3 linked regions of the Arabidopsis thaliana genome follow. The protein of the gene in region 1 interacts with the protein of each later gene in a biochemical or structural test. Each region holds a gene or a part of one and is shown in the gene's direction. Other genes may lie near its edges.

Region 1 (8,009 bases):
TTTGGCCAACACCAATGTGAACTAGTCTGGCCAATTTAGTTAATTGATTGATCATCATATTGTTTTTGGCATTTTTCAGAACGTGTAATAACAGTGAAGGAATTTTGAGGTACCTGCTCAACTGAATCAGATTCAGGAGGGTTTTAGGAGAGGTAATATGGAAGTAGCAATGCTTAAGAAAGATAAAGCTAGAGCTCTTGATGATCTGCTGAAAATCGACTAAGGAAGCCAATGACAAACTCAGACAGGAAAAAACTGTAAGAAGAAGAAGAAAATAAGAGAAAAGCAACAAAGCTATGGAAAGCTTAACTTTGGATTTGCAAGTTAAGTATTTTTAAAGCAAGGGAAGCATTGGAGAAGATCTTGTTGATATGTCAACCATAGCTTGAACATTGTGGAGCCCAAATGAAAAGGTATAAGTTGGCTGCAAAAGATACAAATGAAAACTGTGGAAAAATTCTTGAAGACTGAGATAAGTACACACTCAAAATGAGTTTTTCAATTCTAAGACTATGTGGGAACAGCGAGAACTTCAGTTGTGTGGAAAATTGGGAACTTGGCAAAGTGAATTTGTCTGACCTTCAGGAAAATGAGAAGAAGAAGAAGCATGTATGAAAAATACACTTAAGGAACTTGAGGAGAAGAGTGAGGATTTGTAGGAAAGAGTTGGAGAAGCGGAGACTGGAAGCATGAAAGTCGAGGCAAAGAAGGTTGCTTTAGAAAACAGAAAGCTCAGAGCAATGAAGGTTTTTTCTCTTGAAAAACTCGATAACTTGTCAAAGGTATATGAAAGCTTGGTGGATACAAGTGAAGCGTTTTTAAAGCAAGGCAAGGATTGGAGAAGGTCTTGTTGATATGTCAACCATAGCTTGAACATTGTGGAGCCCAAATTAAAAGTTATAAGTTGGCTGCAAAATATACAAGTGAAAAGTAAGGAAAAATTCTTGAAGACTGAGATAAGTAAACACCCAAAATGAGTTTGTCCATTCTAAGACTGTGTAGAGACAGCGAGAACTTCATTTGCGCGGAAAAGTCGGGAACTTGGCAAGGTAAATGAGAATAAACTGAAGGAACTTGAGGAGAAGAATGAGGATCTGTAGGAAAGAGTTAGAGAAGCAGAAACTGGAAGCATGAAATTTAAAGGAAGCTTGTTGGTCAACGAAGTCAAGCCAAAGAACATTGCTTTAGAAAACTCAGAGCAATGTAGGTTTGTTCTCTTGAAAAAATCGATGAGTCGTCCTCAAAGGTAAATGAAAACTTGGAGTATAAACTGCAGACTGAAGAAGACCGAGAGCTTAATTGACAAAGAAACCAACCTATAGAGCATTACTAAAGAAGCTGAGAAGAGCTCAGGAAAATGAAATTTGCTGGCTGAAGGAATGAATTAGACATTGGTTAATACACAAAATGCAGAGCACTAATCAAAGATTAGTTGAGAAAATAGCCAAACGCAGAGTTTAAGAGGAAGTCAATGGAGTCTTCTTATCATAACAACATTGAGGAGTTGTCACTAAAACTTCTTATTCCGGGTATTTAAATGGCTTCTTCCTCCGCAACTTCTCACTTTCCAGAACACAAAGACTTATAAACAAACCATCCTTCACGTATGTGTTGAATTGAAATGTGAATGTGACTTCATCAACACAATGACTTCAAAACCCAACGACGGTCTTCCTTTCTTTTCTCACCAATAAAATGTAGAAAAGAAACAAAGTACACAAGAAAGACTTTTCATTTAACGATATCTCCACTAGTAGTAGCTATAACTAAATGGGGTCATCGTTATTGACTTTGAATAAGAAATGTTCAAACACTTCAATTATTACATAATATCTTTGCAATAAAATAACAAACGTTAAAGAGCCGTCGCATTATTAGCACAAAAAATATCTTTTGTAAATAAAAAAACAACGTAAAAGAGCCGTCACATTTGAATAATAAAACCCATCTTGCACATAAAAAACACGACTTTTTATTATTTTTGATTATTTCAACAAAGTATGAATAGTCAACATAAAGAAAAGTCCGCCTTGATGTTCCTTCCTCACTCCCTATTTATCCATTTTCTAATCCCACCCTCTTCTCTTCATTCATCATCTTCCTCCTCTCTCTCTTCTCTGTATCACCCAACTAAATCCTCACGGGATTAGATCCAAAGTCTCAAACTTTGATCCAAAAACACAAACTTTGTTCAAAAGACATAAACTTTGAGCCAAAGTCACAAGCTTTCTTGGTGAACGATGGATTACAATCCAAATCTTCCTCCTTTAGGAGGAGGTGGTGTTAGTATGAGAAGAAGCATAAGTCGAAGTGTAAGCAGAGCAAGTAGGAACATTGAAGATATCTTCTCATCTGGTTCAAGAAGAACACAATCAGTCAACGACGATGAAGAAGCTCTTAAATGGGCTGCCATTGAGAAGCTACCAACTTACAGTCGTCTCCGAACCACTCTCATGAACGCTGTAGTCGAAGACGATGTTTACGGTAACCAGCTCATGAGCAAGGAGGTTGATGTAACCAAGCTTGATGGTGAAGATCGTCAGAAGTTTATTGACATGGTTTTCAAAGTAGCTGAGCAAGATAATGAAAGGATCTTGACTAAGCTAAGAAACAGGATCGATAGAGTTGGTATCAAACTTCCAACTGTTGAAGTCAGGTACGAGCATTTGACGATTAAAGCTGATTGTTACACTGGTAATAGATCTCTTCCTACACTTTTGAATGTTGTGAGGAACATGGGAGAGTCTGCTTTAGGTATGATTGGTATTCAATTTGCTAAGAAAGCTCAGCTTACGATTCTTAAAGATATCTCTGGGGTTATTAAACCTGGAAGGATGACACTTTTGTTGGGTCCTCCTTCTTCTGGTAAGACCACTCTTTTGTTGGCTTTAGCTGGGAAACTTGATAAATCTCTACAAGTCAGTGGTGATATTACTTACAATGGTTACCAACTCGATGAGTTTGTTCCGAGAAAGACCTCTGCTTACATTAGTCAGAACGATCTTCATGTTGGTATCATGACTGTTAAGGAGACTCTTGACTTCTCTGCTAGGTGTCAAGGTGTTGGTACTCGTTATGGTAAGTAAAAGATTCAATCTTTAATCATATCTTTTTTTCAAGATTCAGTTTTGTTGAATGGTTTTGATTCTTGTTGTTGTAGATCTGTTGAATGAGCTTGCGAGGAGAGAAAAGGACGCTGGTATATTCCCGGAAGCCGATGTTGATCTCTTCATGAAAGCTTCTGCTGCTCAAGGTGTTAAGAACAGTCTCGTCACTGATTATACTCTCAAAGTGAGTCCAACTCTCGCCTTAACTTAGCTCATCTTGTTCTTTTTGTTTCAAGAAGAGTGTTTGTTACTAGGCAAGCAACTCATAAAATCGAATCGAACTAAATCGTTTTTTATAAACCGAAACTGAACCGGAATTTATTCATTAACCGTTTGGTTTCATTATTTTAGAATATTGATATAAGTTTTCATATTCTAAAAATGTTCTAGACAATCTTTTCTCATGTTCATAAAGTTTTGAGTCTTTTTTTGTATAATACTAACTTTGGCCGTGTAACAGATTTTGGGGCTTGACATTTGCAAAGACACAATAGTTGGAGATGACATGATGAGAGGTATATCTGGAGGTCAGAAGAAACGTGTCACAACTGGTGAGATGATTGTTGGACCTACTAAGACACTCTTCATGGACGAAATATCCACTGGTCTTGACAGTTCCACTACTTTCCAAATCGTCAAGTGTCTGCAACAAATCGTTCACCTCAATGAAGCCACGGTGCTCATGTCTCTCCTCCAGCCTGCTCCTGAGACTTTTGATTTATTCGATGATATCATCTTGGTGTCGGAAGGTCAGATCGTGTACCAAGGACCGAGAGACAACATTCTTGAGTTCTTTGAGAGCTTTGGGTTCAAGTGTCCTGAGAGAAAAGGAACAGCTGATTTCCTGCAAGAGGTTACTTCCAAGAAAGATCAAGAACAGTACTGGGTGAACCCGAACAGACCTTATCACTACATTCCGGTTTCAGAGTTTGCCAGTAGATACAAGAGTTTCCATGTTGGGACGAAGATGTCTAACGAACTTGCAGTACCGTTCGATAAGTCTCGCGGCCACAAAGCAGCTCTTGTGTTCGATAAGTACTCTGTCTCAAAGAGGGAGCTTCTCAAGAGCTGTTGGGACAAAGAGTGGCTGCTTATGCAGCGAAACGCGTTCTTCTATGTTTTCAAGACTGTCCAGATCGTCATCATTGCTGCAATCACGTCTACACTCTTCCTGAGAACCGAAATGAACACAAGAAACGAGGGTGATGCTAATCTCTACATAGGAGCATTGCTATTTGGAATGATCATCAACATGTTTAATGGGTTTGCGGAGATGGCTATGATGGTTTCAAGACTCCCTGTGTTCTACAAACAGAGGGATCTCTTGTTTTATCCATCCTGGACCTTCTCACTTCCCACTTTCTTGCTTGGGATTCCAAGCTCAATATTAGAATCGACGGCTTGGATGGTGGTGACTTATTACTCCATTGGTTTTGCACCTGACGCCAGCCGCTTCTTCAAGCAGTTTCTTCTGGTGTTTCTGATTCAACAAATGGCTGCATCCCTCTTTAGGTTGATTGCTTCTGTGTGCAGAACCATGATGATTGCTAATACTGGTGGTGCTCTCACTCTACTTCTTGTGTTCTTGCTCGGAGGCTTCCTTCTTCCGAAAGGCAAGATTCCTGACTGGTGGGGTTGGGCTTACTGGGTATCTCCTCTCACCTATGCTTTCAACGGTCTAGTAGTCAATGAAATGTTTGCTCCCAGATGGATGAACAAAATGGTAAGTGGCTTACTTCTTTATTCTGCATTTTACAAACAAATATCATAGTAAAGCCGCCTCTGAGTCATATTTTTTTCAAATTACAGGCTTCTTCTAACAGCACAATAAAGCTTGGAACTATGGTGCTTAATACTTGGGATGTCTACCATCAAAAGAACTGGTACTGGATTTCAGTTGGAGCCTTGCTTTGTTTCACAGCCCTCTTCAACATTCTATTCACCTTGGCACTTACCTATCTCAACCGTAAGTTCTCGTGTTGTATCACCCGTTTTACCAAATCTAAAAACAATAGACTACTAATAATGTACCTTTGAAACTACAGCTCTTGGGAAGAAGGCAGGTTTACTTCCAGAAGAAGAAAATGAAGACGCTGATCAGGGGAAAGATCCAATGCGTAGATCTTTGTCTACTGCAGATGGGAACAGAAGTAAGTAAACACATTTCTTAATCTGCTTAGATGTTTTGCTTTTCTTGTACTCTTGTCTCATTCTGCTCCCTGCTATCAGGAGGAGAGGTCGCAATGGGGAGAATGAGTAGGGACTCTGCGGCTGAAGCATCAGGTGGTGCAGGCAATAAGAAAGGAATGGTTCTTCCTTTCACTCCTTTAGCTATGTCCTTTGACGACGTCAAATACTTTGTTGACATGCCTGGGGTAAGTAACTATCTTCACTTAAAATCTTTACACTAAATTAAATATGAATTACTTAAACTAAATAGATATCTTTTGATGGTATAGGAAATGAGAGACCAAGGAGTTACAGAAACAAGACTCCAACTGCTTAAAGGTGTGACTGGTGCATTTAGGCCAGGAGTTTTGACTGCGCTTATGGGAGTGAGTGGTGCCGGTAAGACTACGCTTATGGACGTTTTGGCCGGAAGGAAAACAGGTGGATACATTGAAGGAGATGTGAGAATATCAGGATTCCCAAAGGTTCAAGAAACATTTGCTAGAATCTCAGGATATTGTGAGCAGACCGATATTCACTCCCCGCAAGTAACAGTCAGAGAATCTCTGATTTTCTCTGCTTTCCTTCGTCTTCCTAAAGAAGTCGGCAAAGATGAAAAAATGATGTTTGTGGATCAAGTGATGGAATTGGTAGAGCTGGACAGTCTTAGGGACTCCATTGTTGGTTTACCGGGTGTCACGGGGCTTTCCACGGAGCAGAGAAAGAGACTGACAATCGCGGTGGAGCTTGTAGCCAACCCTTCCATCATCTTTATGGATGAGCCAACTTCAGGGCTAGACGCTAGAGCAGCGGCTATTGTGATGAGGGCGGTAAGGAACACAGTGGACACTGGAAGAACCGTGGTCTGCACCATTCATCAGCCTAGCATTGATATCTTTGAAGCATTTGATGAATTGATGCTGATGAAGAGAGGAGGACAAGTGATTTACGCGGGTCCATTGGGTCAAAACTCTCACAAGGTGGTTGAGTACTTTGAATCTTTCCCCGGAGTGTCCAAGATTCCAGAAAAGTATAACCCGGCCACTTGGATGCTCGAAGCTAGCTCACTCGCCGCTGAGCTAAAGCTTAGTGTTGACTTTGCTGAGTTATACAATCAATCAGCATTGCACCAGTAAGTTTAAGTTCCTTCTTTTCCATGGCTCATTGCATCTGATTGATTGTTTAAGTAATAGTACTAATGAATACATAACAAAATGCAGGCGAAACAAAGCGTTGGTAAAAGAACTAAGTGTACCACCAGCAGGAGCATCAGATCTTTACTTTGCTACACAATTCTCACAAAACACATGGGGACAGTTCAAATCATGCTTATGGAAACAATGGTGGACGTATTGGAGATCTCCAGACTACAATCTTGTCCGTTTCATCTTCACATTGGCAACATCTCTCTTGATTGGTACAGTCTTCTGGCAAATCGGAGGTAACAGGTCGAACGCAGGGGATCTAACAATGGTGATAGGAGCATTGTATGCCGCGATTATCTTCGTGGGAATCAACAACTGTTCAACAGTACAACCGATGGTTGCAGTGGAAAGAACAGTGTTCTACAGAGAAAGAGCAGCAGGAATGTACTCAGCCATGCCATATGCCATCTCTCAAGTCACTTGTGAGCTTCCCTATGTCCTTATTCAAACCGTTTACTACTCACTCATCGTCTACGCCATGGTTGGTTTCGAATGGAAAGCCGAAAAGTTCTTCTGGTTCGTCTTCGTTAGCTACTTCTCATTCCTCTACTGGACTTACTACGGCATGATGACTGTTTCCCTCACACCAAACCAACAAGTCGCTTCGATTTTCGCCTCAGCGTTTTACGGTATTTTCAACCTCTTCTCTGGTTTCTTCATTCCAAGACCCAAAATCCCAAAATGGTGGATTTGGTACTACTGGATCTGCCCTGTTGCATGGACCGTGTATGGATTGATAGTGTCGCAGTACGGTGATGTGGAGACACGTATCCAAGTCCTTGGTGGTGCTCCTGACTTAACCGTCAAGCAATACATTGAGGACCATTATGGTTTCCAATCTGACTTTATGGGACCAGTGGCGGCTGTACTCATCGCTTTCACCGTCTTCTTCGCCTTCATCTTCGCCTTCTGCATCAGAACTCTCAACTTCCAGACCAGATAAAACCATCTCTCAAACAACAAAGTCTCTTTCTTTTTTTGTATCCTCTGTGTTGTTTATATGCACTATAAGCTTTGTATGTTCTAAATATGTATTGTAGTGTCATAACGAAATTTTTTTGAATATTTTTATTTATTGTCTTATAGATGATGACGAATCGGAATCATGTAATATAATTCCACTTTTTTTTGTGTTTATATCCACAAATCCCTCAAAGTCCATTTTTGTTTGTTTCTTGAGACTTTTTATTTTACGATACTTCCAATAAGAGGAAGAAGACAGAAAAAAAGTGTGATCATATCCATTATCAAAGAAGACAAAATCAATGGAGGATAAGTTAATGTTCTTCATGATTAAATCTTGATAATTGTATAACATGGTTCTGTAAAAATTATCACAACACAACACCAATATCATAAAGTTTAATGAGAAATCTCAATAAATCAGTTTTTCTAAATATAGAAAAGTCTATCTTACAACGACAAAACGATTTTGAATTTTGGATTAAATCACCTAAAATTTCCTTAAATCCTACCAAAAGTCCTCCCAATCAAATTTCCATTTAATCATACCCAAATGTTTAGGCCA
Region 2 (4,437 bases), on another chromosome or scaffold:
CAGTTGTTATCTGTTCTCCGGTCATAGAACGCTTTTCCAGTGATTTTACTCTTATGTATCCGCCATCCTTTGTCTTCATACTTATTTAGCTTTTTCATCATAACACCCTTGGAAGTTTAACAAAAGACTGTAAAATCAATCTTTTTTTCACATAAGTCACATAAGTACTCAAACTCTATACTGAAAAATCATGTTTAACTGCTTGTGGAACTTCAGGATTGGGAAGATGGGTTGTGTGAGAGCAACGCTGATGGCTCATACTTGCATGAAAACTGGAACAAAGACTTGAAACTCTTTAGTGATGGTGAAGATGGCGGACAACAACTGCTTCAGGTTAATGTCTTCCTTTTATAACCTACTGTAGTGATAAGTTAGGAATAAAAAAATGGAAGATAATCTTTGTAGGATGATATCTTCAAATGTACTTAAAATAGCTCTATTATGGAATGATCTAGTTGACAAATATATAGATAAACCTTCAGATTTACTTGTTTGTTGTTTGTAGCCTTCTATCTATATTAACAGGAGAATTTGTTACTTGACAATTAGATGAGTACGCAGTCATCGGCAATGTTGTGAGCTATTAACTTGGGAATTTGTTTTTTGAGAAATTGTTCACGGAAATATACTTTGAGAACTAGTTCTCCTACATTTGTTTTTCAGTAACCTAGTTGTATCGCATGTTTTCTTGTTTCCGATACTCTACTTTAGTTTATACGACTCTTGAATCCTTTAGCTCATAGGGGGGGAGTGGAGCTTAAAACCTGTTTTACTTTGCTGAAGGCGTTTGTTCTTTGCATTTGCAGCTATTCATACTGCGGGCAGAAGCCGAACTGCAAACTGTATCCGATAAAAACCTCACAGAGGCCCTTAAGTGTGTAGATTCACTAAAATCAGCGGTTTCCAACTTCTTTGGCGGGCATGTCGTAAAACCAATCGCTTTTTTCCTAGAGCCGGACCATCCTCAGAAAAACCGTGACGAGCTCTTCAAGCCACGTGGTGCTGGTAACCAAACAGCAGGCGGTGTGAAGTACAAAGGGGACTGGATGACCCGTCCGGTGTCAGAAGACGAGGTTGCATTGATGGCTAAACTGCTAATCAACATGTCTATTTGGCTCAATGAACGCCTCGGGCTGAACAAATCTGAGACGAGCAACGACAAGAAAGAGAATTCAGAGTCAGTATCATATGTAGATGTATCAGGGGAAGATGTGGGAAACGTTGCAGGACCTGGAGATGCTGCGAAGATGCTGTTGCGAGGGATGGTGATGGTATGTGGCACAGTGTTGCAGCTGATGAGAAGATTCGGGATTCGAGTCAATCTTCGGGTTATGGCTTCAAAAAAGTTTCTGATGCTTTTATTTCTCTATGTCCTGTTTCTTGTAGTCAAAAGGGTAGTCACAAGGATGATTTGGTAGATGGGTGTCCAAAATGTGTTAAAAGTTGAAGAAGTAAAAGGAAATAGACACTCTAACTCGCGTAGAGCGTTTGATAGGAATTGGAAAGCTTATTTACGAAACAGGGACTGAGTTTTTTGGTAATTTACATGTTCGCATTACAAATTGAAGCGTGTCTTTACTTGTTACAACCAATGAGAATGGTCCACGTAATCAGTCTCCACGTGTCATCTGCCAATAAGATCCACCCATCAGCAAAATTCATCGGTCGTTCGTCGCTGACTATCACAATTCCGAACACCAAATTTCGAATTTCTGCCACTTGCTTTGTGATCTGATCGTTCGAAATTGACCGGAGAATTCTTCTGTGTTCTTAGATCTGTCGCGAATTTGTTAAAGCTCCTCAGAAGGTTTTGGTTACAGATCTTCTCTGTGGTCTTCACCACTATGGCCGCTCCGTTTTTTTCAACTCCATTTCAGCCTTATGTCTACCAGGTGTGCTTCTTCTCTCTTTGATCATTTCGCTTTCAAAATGATGAGGTCGTGTTCTTCTTAGTTGCAATTTGACTAAATTTGAGGTTCATTGTAAGTAGGATTTAGAGAAATTCCATCTTTGATTAGTTTAACTTAGCTGGGAGAACGCATAATCGGGCCAATTAGGGATTTTAGATCATGACATTGTTCTAGTGTTGTCTAATAAGTGGCCATTTGATGCAGAGTCAACAAGATACTATTACACCGTTCCAGATTTTGGGTGGTGAATCCCAAGTTGTTCAGGTACATTTGCTTTCTTAATATAGCGTGATCTTCGTATTTGTGGGTTATATGCCATATAATTTTAACTTCTCTAACCATTGCTCGTATGTTGGCAGATAATGTTAAAGTCAGAGGAGAAAGTCATTGCTAAGCCTGGTACTTCCACTGAATAACTCGCTTCTCTACTCAGTTTTGTATAATGGTTTCAAGTTTCAACTAATTTTGTGTTATGGTGATGTAGCTTCCATGTGCTACATGTCTGGCTCCATCGAGATGGAAAATACATACACTCCTGAACAAGAAGTTGGAGTTCTGCAGTGGATTTTGGGCAAGAGTGTAAGCAGTGTTGTTCTTCGGAATACTGGGCAAAACGACGGGTTTGTTGGTATTGCTGCACCTTATTTGGCTAGGATTCTCCCGGTTAGTGATTTTAGCTTGTCCATGTTGGCATAATCATCTTCCATTTCACCCTTAATGTATACCGCCTGATTCCTTGTTGTTTTTGTGATCTTTGTTTTCCATGTAGATTGATTTGGCAATGTTTGGAGGTGAGATCTTATGCCAGGTAGAGTCTTTTTTCCTAGATTTTGAACACTTAGCTATCAGCTTCTTCTTCACTCAGATCAAGCTCTTACAGAGTCGCCTGACCTTTTCTTCACTTTCTGTAGCCAGATGCATTCCTTTGTTCTGTCCATGATGTGAAGGTTGTCAACTCCGTTGACCAGAGAGCAAGAAACATTGTTGCCGCTGGTGCAGAGGTAAGAACTAAGAAGGAAAATACGTTGATTTGGTTTCTGATGCAATTATTATTCTTAACAAAATTCTGCAACCCGTTGTCTGGCTTCTACTCACAAATTGCTGTTGCAGGGATTTCTGAGACAACGCCTATCTGGACAAGGTCTTGCTTTCATCCTCGCAGGTGGCTCTGGTGAGATTTTATCCCAATGAAATGCTGTTTCCGTTGAGGCCTCATCCCCTTCAATAAAACTGACATTTAACATCCCAAACATGTTAGTTGTACAAAAAGTTCTGGAGGTAGGAGAAGTTTTCTCCATTGACGTTTCCTGTATTGCTGCTCTCACACCCTCTATCGATGTCCGAATCAAAAACAATGCTCCTTTTAGACGAGCACTATTCGGGGTACATTTTCACATATACTTTGTTTCAATGAGAAGAAGATTCAGGTTTTTGTTTTGTTTCTCAACTGTTTTAATCTTTCAACATTCAAAAGGGTGATAACGTAGTAATGGCGACTCTAACGGGGCCTGGCATTGTCTTCATTCAAAGCTTACCGTTTCATCGGCTCTCGCAGCGTATTGCAAGGTAAAGCAACCAACAATCCAAATCTCCATTTATGTTGCAAATATGTTTATATAAAGTGTGAATGGTTTTTCTGTGACAGGTCGGTAACGTCGCCAAACATGAGAGAGAATCCAAAATTGCTGATACAGATAGCTATATTTGCGTTCCTAGCATACGCTGTGATTTTGTCATCGTTGATCTTAACCGAAGTTTGAAAGCAGAGAGATAGAAAGAATTATCCGACCAACAAACTAACGTTGTAATTGTTCAAATTATCTCGGGTTTGGACTTTGGATGGATAGAGTGAAGATGAATTAGACACATCTCAAACCATTTTCTTTTCGTTTACTAGTGAGTTTAGGCACTTGTGTTATATTGATATTGCTCCTATATATTGAAAAGTGAAAACGTAGATACCGAGTTGAACAAAAATTGGATTCTTTACTTAAATCACACATCAATTTAAATTAATTAATTTGATTTTTTGTTTTGTTAAATAATTAATGTCTAATGATATTATTGATTAATTTTCATCGGATGGTTAAGAAATTGGATTAATTCAAAAAAAAAAATCTGGATTAATTCGTTACCAATGGATCATATAGTCAAGACTCAAGAGAATGTCTCAATGATATCATGGACTAATTTTCAGAAAATGGATTATAGCAGGAGTTAATAGTTTTCCAAAAACATTGAACTGTCAAAAACAGTAAACATGCTCAAGCAAAAATTCACAATTTTGAAAACAGCGAAATGTCATAGGTGTTAACACACGAATTTCAACAATATACAATACTCCGTTTTTTCCGTTTACTTTTTAAACTATTCGAATTACTCATGGATACGGATCTTACGATACGATGAATACATTTACGTTATAAGAAGTGACTACAACCATTCTTAAACATGTTTACGATTCGCACATAAGATCTCTCAAATCAGTGAAGCTAGACCAACAAGAATAAATTTGATATGAATCGTC
Region 3 (3,808 bases), on another chromosome or scaffold:
CCTTCCCTTTCTTCCTTCAACTTGTCTTCGTCTCGATATTTGTTAGGCTCCGTTACAACGTCAATTATCTTTCTTTTTCTTATTACACAAATATCACAGAGAATACAGTAATTATATTTTGAATATAGTATAAATTGTTTACGTACTGAAATAGAATAAAAATCAGAGCCGCCGCAACTTGCGAAAGTCTGTTGGGGTCGAATGACTTCAGTGCGAAGCACCCCTTCCACTCCCGCGCTTTTCTTGGCCATTTTAAAAATGAAAATATCAAACTCAATATCAATTTAAAAAATTTAAAATTTAAAATTTAAATTGATTTAATGAAGTCATGCCCATAGGGATCCAGACTTGAGCAGGCAAGTTGGCCATGAAGTAAACTACATAAGAGCACTATAATAATAGATATATGTGATAAATCAAATAAGAAAAATGATTGGAGAGTTGTCTGATAAAGTTCTCTTTTATTTTCTCCTTTTCTTTTGTTGAAGCATCGAAAACAGTTGCGTCTATTGGGAAATGGTAAATTTATAACATTAAAGTAAAACTTAGAGCTCACATGCCAAAGTTTGTGTACTAAATTTCTGTTGTATACAAAATGTTATAATCAATAGTCGTAAGCAAACATCTAAATAGAGTCTAAACTGTATTTTTCAACTACTTTCTAAATTAACTTTGTTTACTTAGTTCTATTGGTTAGAGTTGTGATTTTATCGGACATAGTTGTAAGCTTATAACACACATATCTTTAATTAGTCGTATTATTCGAAAGCATATTAGTTTTCTGCTTATCGCAGTTGGTGCCCTAATAAGAGGTCGCTAATTAGTTTACTTTAGAGCTAACTATTCTAATTAGTAAACGATAATTGTGGAGGATAACGGCGGAAAATATCAAAAAATAAAAAAATATATTAAAGCGTTTACAACGGAGAAGGATTTGATTCTTGGGTTGGTCAAGAAAAAAAAAAATTGCAACTCCAACTTGCTTGGTATGGTTTTATATTATTAATGGTCCAAAGAATATCCACATATCTACTTCATTATTAAAAAAAATAAAACTAATACTGATCTCCATAAAATAATGTAAGAAACATGTTATGTGTATATATTATGAGTTCAGGACGTAATTAGAGAATTACTAATAGTGTGATTATAATTAGGGACAGCTACGAAGGGGTGGCATATGCGAGAGGATGATTCTATTCCATGCCTATTCACACGACATATGCGAAGGAAGAGAGTCCAGAGCATAGGCCAAGAAAAGAATATTATCTCTATACAATCTAAGTTATATTTTGTTGTTAATTACAGCTACAATCGGAAATATATGAATACCAAAAAATTACGGTAAACTTCATGTATACACATGCATATGTTATAGTGTTTGTTTCTAATAGTGATTGTTTCATTGCAATCTTTTTTTGTTACTTAAAAAAATCTACAGTACGTTTTCAAGTATTTTGAATAAATCATATCACGCTTGTTTTGAAACATAAATGAGTTACATAATTAAACTTGATTCAACGCAAATTCAATAGAAACTGACTACTCTTAGCAACAATATAACGATCATGATCTCATTGAATATCAAGCATGTTACTAATTTTACTACCGGTCAAAAATTAATATATACCTCGTAAGTGATAATATTAAAGTTATTTATACAAAACAATAGTCGTGCTACAATATTTATTTATCCAATATAATAACGAAAATATCACGTAGCTTAAAATTTCATTTTGGTTTAACAGCTCAACAAAGAAAAACCTCCTCTCGTCACGTGCATTAATTACTCCCAAAATTCAGTCTTTCTACATTTAATTATATTATTTTAAAAAATAAAAATCGTAACCTCATTTTTTTTGTTTAATAATACCAAAAAAAATCAGTATAAATTGAGGAACTCGCACCATTAACCGTCACAAGCTTTCATGCTCTGTTTCATGTTTTCTCTCTACACGCTTAAATATTCAATCTTTTAATCAAATCTGATTCAACCGTGTCGTAGATTTGCTTCAATGGAGTGGATTCGAGGAGAAACTATCGGATACGGAACTTTTTCTACAGTAAGTCTAGCGACGCGGTCTAATAACGATTCCGGCGAGTTTCCTCCGTTAATGGCTGTGAAATCTGCAGACTCATACGGCGCTGCTTCTCTGGCAAACGAGAAATCAGTTCTAGATAATCTCGGAGACGATTGCAACGAGATCGTACGGTGTTTCGGCGAGGATCGGACGGTCGAAAACGGTGAAGAGATGCATAATTTGTTCTTGGAATACGCTTCTAGAGGAAGCTTAGAGAGTTATCTTAAGAAATTAGCCGGTGAAGGTGTACCGGAATCCACCGTGCGTCGCCACACAGGATCGGTGCTTAGAGGTCTACGACACATCCACGCTAACGGATTCGCTCACTGTGATTTAAAACTCGGGAATATTCTGTTGTTCGGTGACGGCGCCGTTAAGATTGCGGATTTTGGATTGGCGAAGAGAATTGGGGATTTAACGGCGTTAAATTACGGTGTGCAGATTAGAGGTACGCCGTTGTACATGGCGCCGGAATCTGTTAACGATAACGAGTACGGATCAGAAGGTGACGTGTGGGCTTTAGGATGCGTAGTAGTTGAGATGTTTAGTGGTAAAACGGCATGGAGTTTAAAAGAAGGGTCGAACTTCATGTCGTTGTTGTTACGCATCGGTGTTGGTGACGAGGTTCCGATGATTCCCGAGGAGTTGTCGGAACAAGGAAGAGATTTTTTGTCAAAGTGTTTCGTTAAAGATCCCAAAAAGAGATGGACGGCTGAGATGCTTCTAAACCATCCATTTGTAACCGTCGATGTTGATCACGACGTTTTAGTCAAAGAAGAAGATTTCGTTGTTAATATGAAAACAGAGGACGTCTCGACATCGCCGAGATGCCCATTCGAATTTCCCGATTGGGTTTCGGTTTCTTCCGGTTCACAAACGATCGATTCGCCGGATGAGAGAGTTGCTAGTTTGGTGACTGATATGATCCCTGATTGGTCTGTTACCAATAGCTGGGTCACCGTACGGTGACGATAGTGATTAAAAAACAGGGGACAAAAACAGAGTTGCAGAGAAAGACTAGAGCTTTTTTTTAATTCCTAGTCAGATCCAACAATTCTAATTTAATTCGTTGTATAAATATTTCTTATTAGAAATTGACTATTTATTTATATGTAAATACCAGTTTTGTATTCATGATCTCAAATCTTGATTCTCTTTAGTACTATATGGAAATTGTATTCATGACTCATGAGCCCATTATCTCGATTATCTTTCTCCATGAATGTGAATAAAGATCGTATATTCAGACATAATCACACGGAATAAGAGAATAAGTTTAACCAAAGAAGAAAAAAAACAAATCTTTTGCAAAGTAAAGATCAAGACTCTTGGACAAGGCTCGTGGCCACCACAGAACAGCTCACTTCAAACTCAGCTTCATCTTCATCAACCCAACTCACCAATCCATAAACCACGTTCTCTTGTAACCCTCTTGGACTCTCCAATCTCACAGTGTAGCTTAGCTTCTCGTTTTTCTCGCTGAACATTAGTTTCTTTGGCTCTACGACGACGTTTAGACCCTTCAAGCCTCTCACTCTCACGATGTAGCTTCTCTTTGCTTCTCCCACGTTTGTCAATGTCCTCTTAAAGATCTTGGGACTGCTTTGATCAGACGTGAAGTAGGCAATGATTGAAGGGTAATTGAGATATGGAGATGGCTTTTTACAAGCGTCGGAGATATTCGATCTCGTGATGATATTGATCAATTTTCTTGATTGTTTTGCCTC

The links. The genes of interacting proteins can lie anywhere in the genome.
Region 2: the proteins of PEN3 (region 1) and AT5G47420 form a complex in vitro, tested with the Arabidopsis thaliana proteins (one study listed by BioGRID).
Region 3: the proteins of PEN3 (region 1) and MAPKKK19 form a complex in vitro, tested with the Arabidopsis thaliana proteins (one study listed by BioGRID).

Annotation. Positions count from the first base shown.
Region 1 is NC_003070.9:22,032,421-22,040,429, forward strand, and holds PEN3 (ABC-2 and Plant PDR ABC-type transporter family protein), read left to right. Parts: upstream 1-2,002; 5' UTR 2,003-2,240; coding exon 2,241-3,078; intron 3,079-3,160; coding exon 3,161-3,291; intron 3,292-3,567; coding exon 3,568-4,830; intron 4,831-4,916; coding exon 4,917-5,073; intron 5,074-5,152; coding exon 5,153-5,257; intron 5,258-5,336; coding exon 5,337-5,482; intron 5,483-5,566; coding exon 5,567-6,408; intron 6,409-6,496; coding exon 6,497-7,424; 3' UTR 7,425-7,706; downstream 7,707-8,009. Other genes in the region: AT1G59865 (uncharacterized protein), read right to left, coding at 1-26, 114-219, 580-877. UniProt on the Arabidopsis thaliana protein: Together with ABCG37, regulates auxin homeostasis and responses by playing a dual role in coumarin (e.g. esculin) and in the auxin precursor indole 3-butyric acid (IBA) efflux transport, thus influencing cotyledons, roots and root hairs development.
Region 2 is NC_003076.8:19,231,169-19,235,605, forward strand, and holds AT5G47420 (Tryptophan RNA-binding attenuator protein-like protein), read left to right. Parts: upstream 1-1,615; 5' UTR 1,616-1,844; coding exon 1,845-1,892; intron 1,893-2,114; coding exon 2,115-2,174; intron 2,175-2,269; coding exon 2,270-2,309; intron 2,310-2,394; coding exon 2,395-2,573; intron 2,574-2,679; coding exon 2,680-2,718; intron 2,719-2,821; coding exon 2,822-2,911; intron 2,912-3,020; coding exon 3,021-3,081; intron 3,082-3,168; coding exon 3,169-3,293; intron 3,294-3,384; coding exon 3,385-3,476; intron 3,477-3,555; coding exon 3,556-3,670; 3' UTR 3,671-3,898; downstream 3,899-4,437. Other genes in the region: AT5G47400 (sphingomyelin phosphodiesterase), read left to right, coding at 217-333, 807-1,418.
Region 3 is NC_003076.8:26,770,711-26,774,518, forward strand, and holds MAPKKK19 (mitogen-activated protein kinase kinase kinase 19), read left to right. Parts: upstream 1-1,933; 5' UTR 1,934-2,015; coding exon 2,016-3,050; 3' UTR 3,051-3,269; downstream 3,270-3,808. Other genes in the region: AT5G67090 (Subtilisin-like serine endopeptidase family protein), read right to left, coding at 3,401-3,808.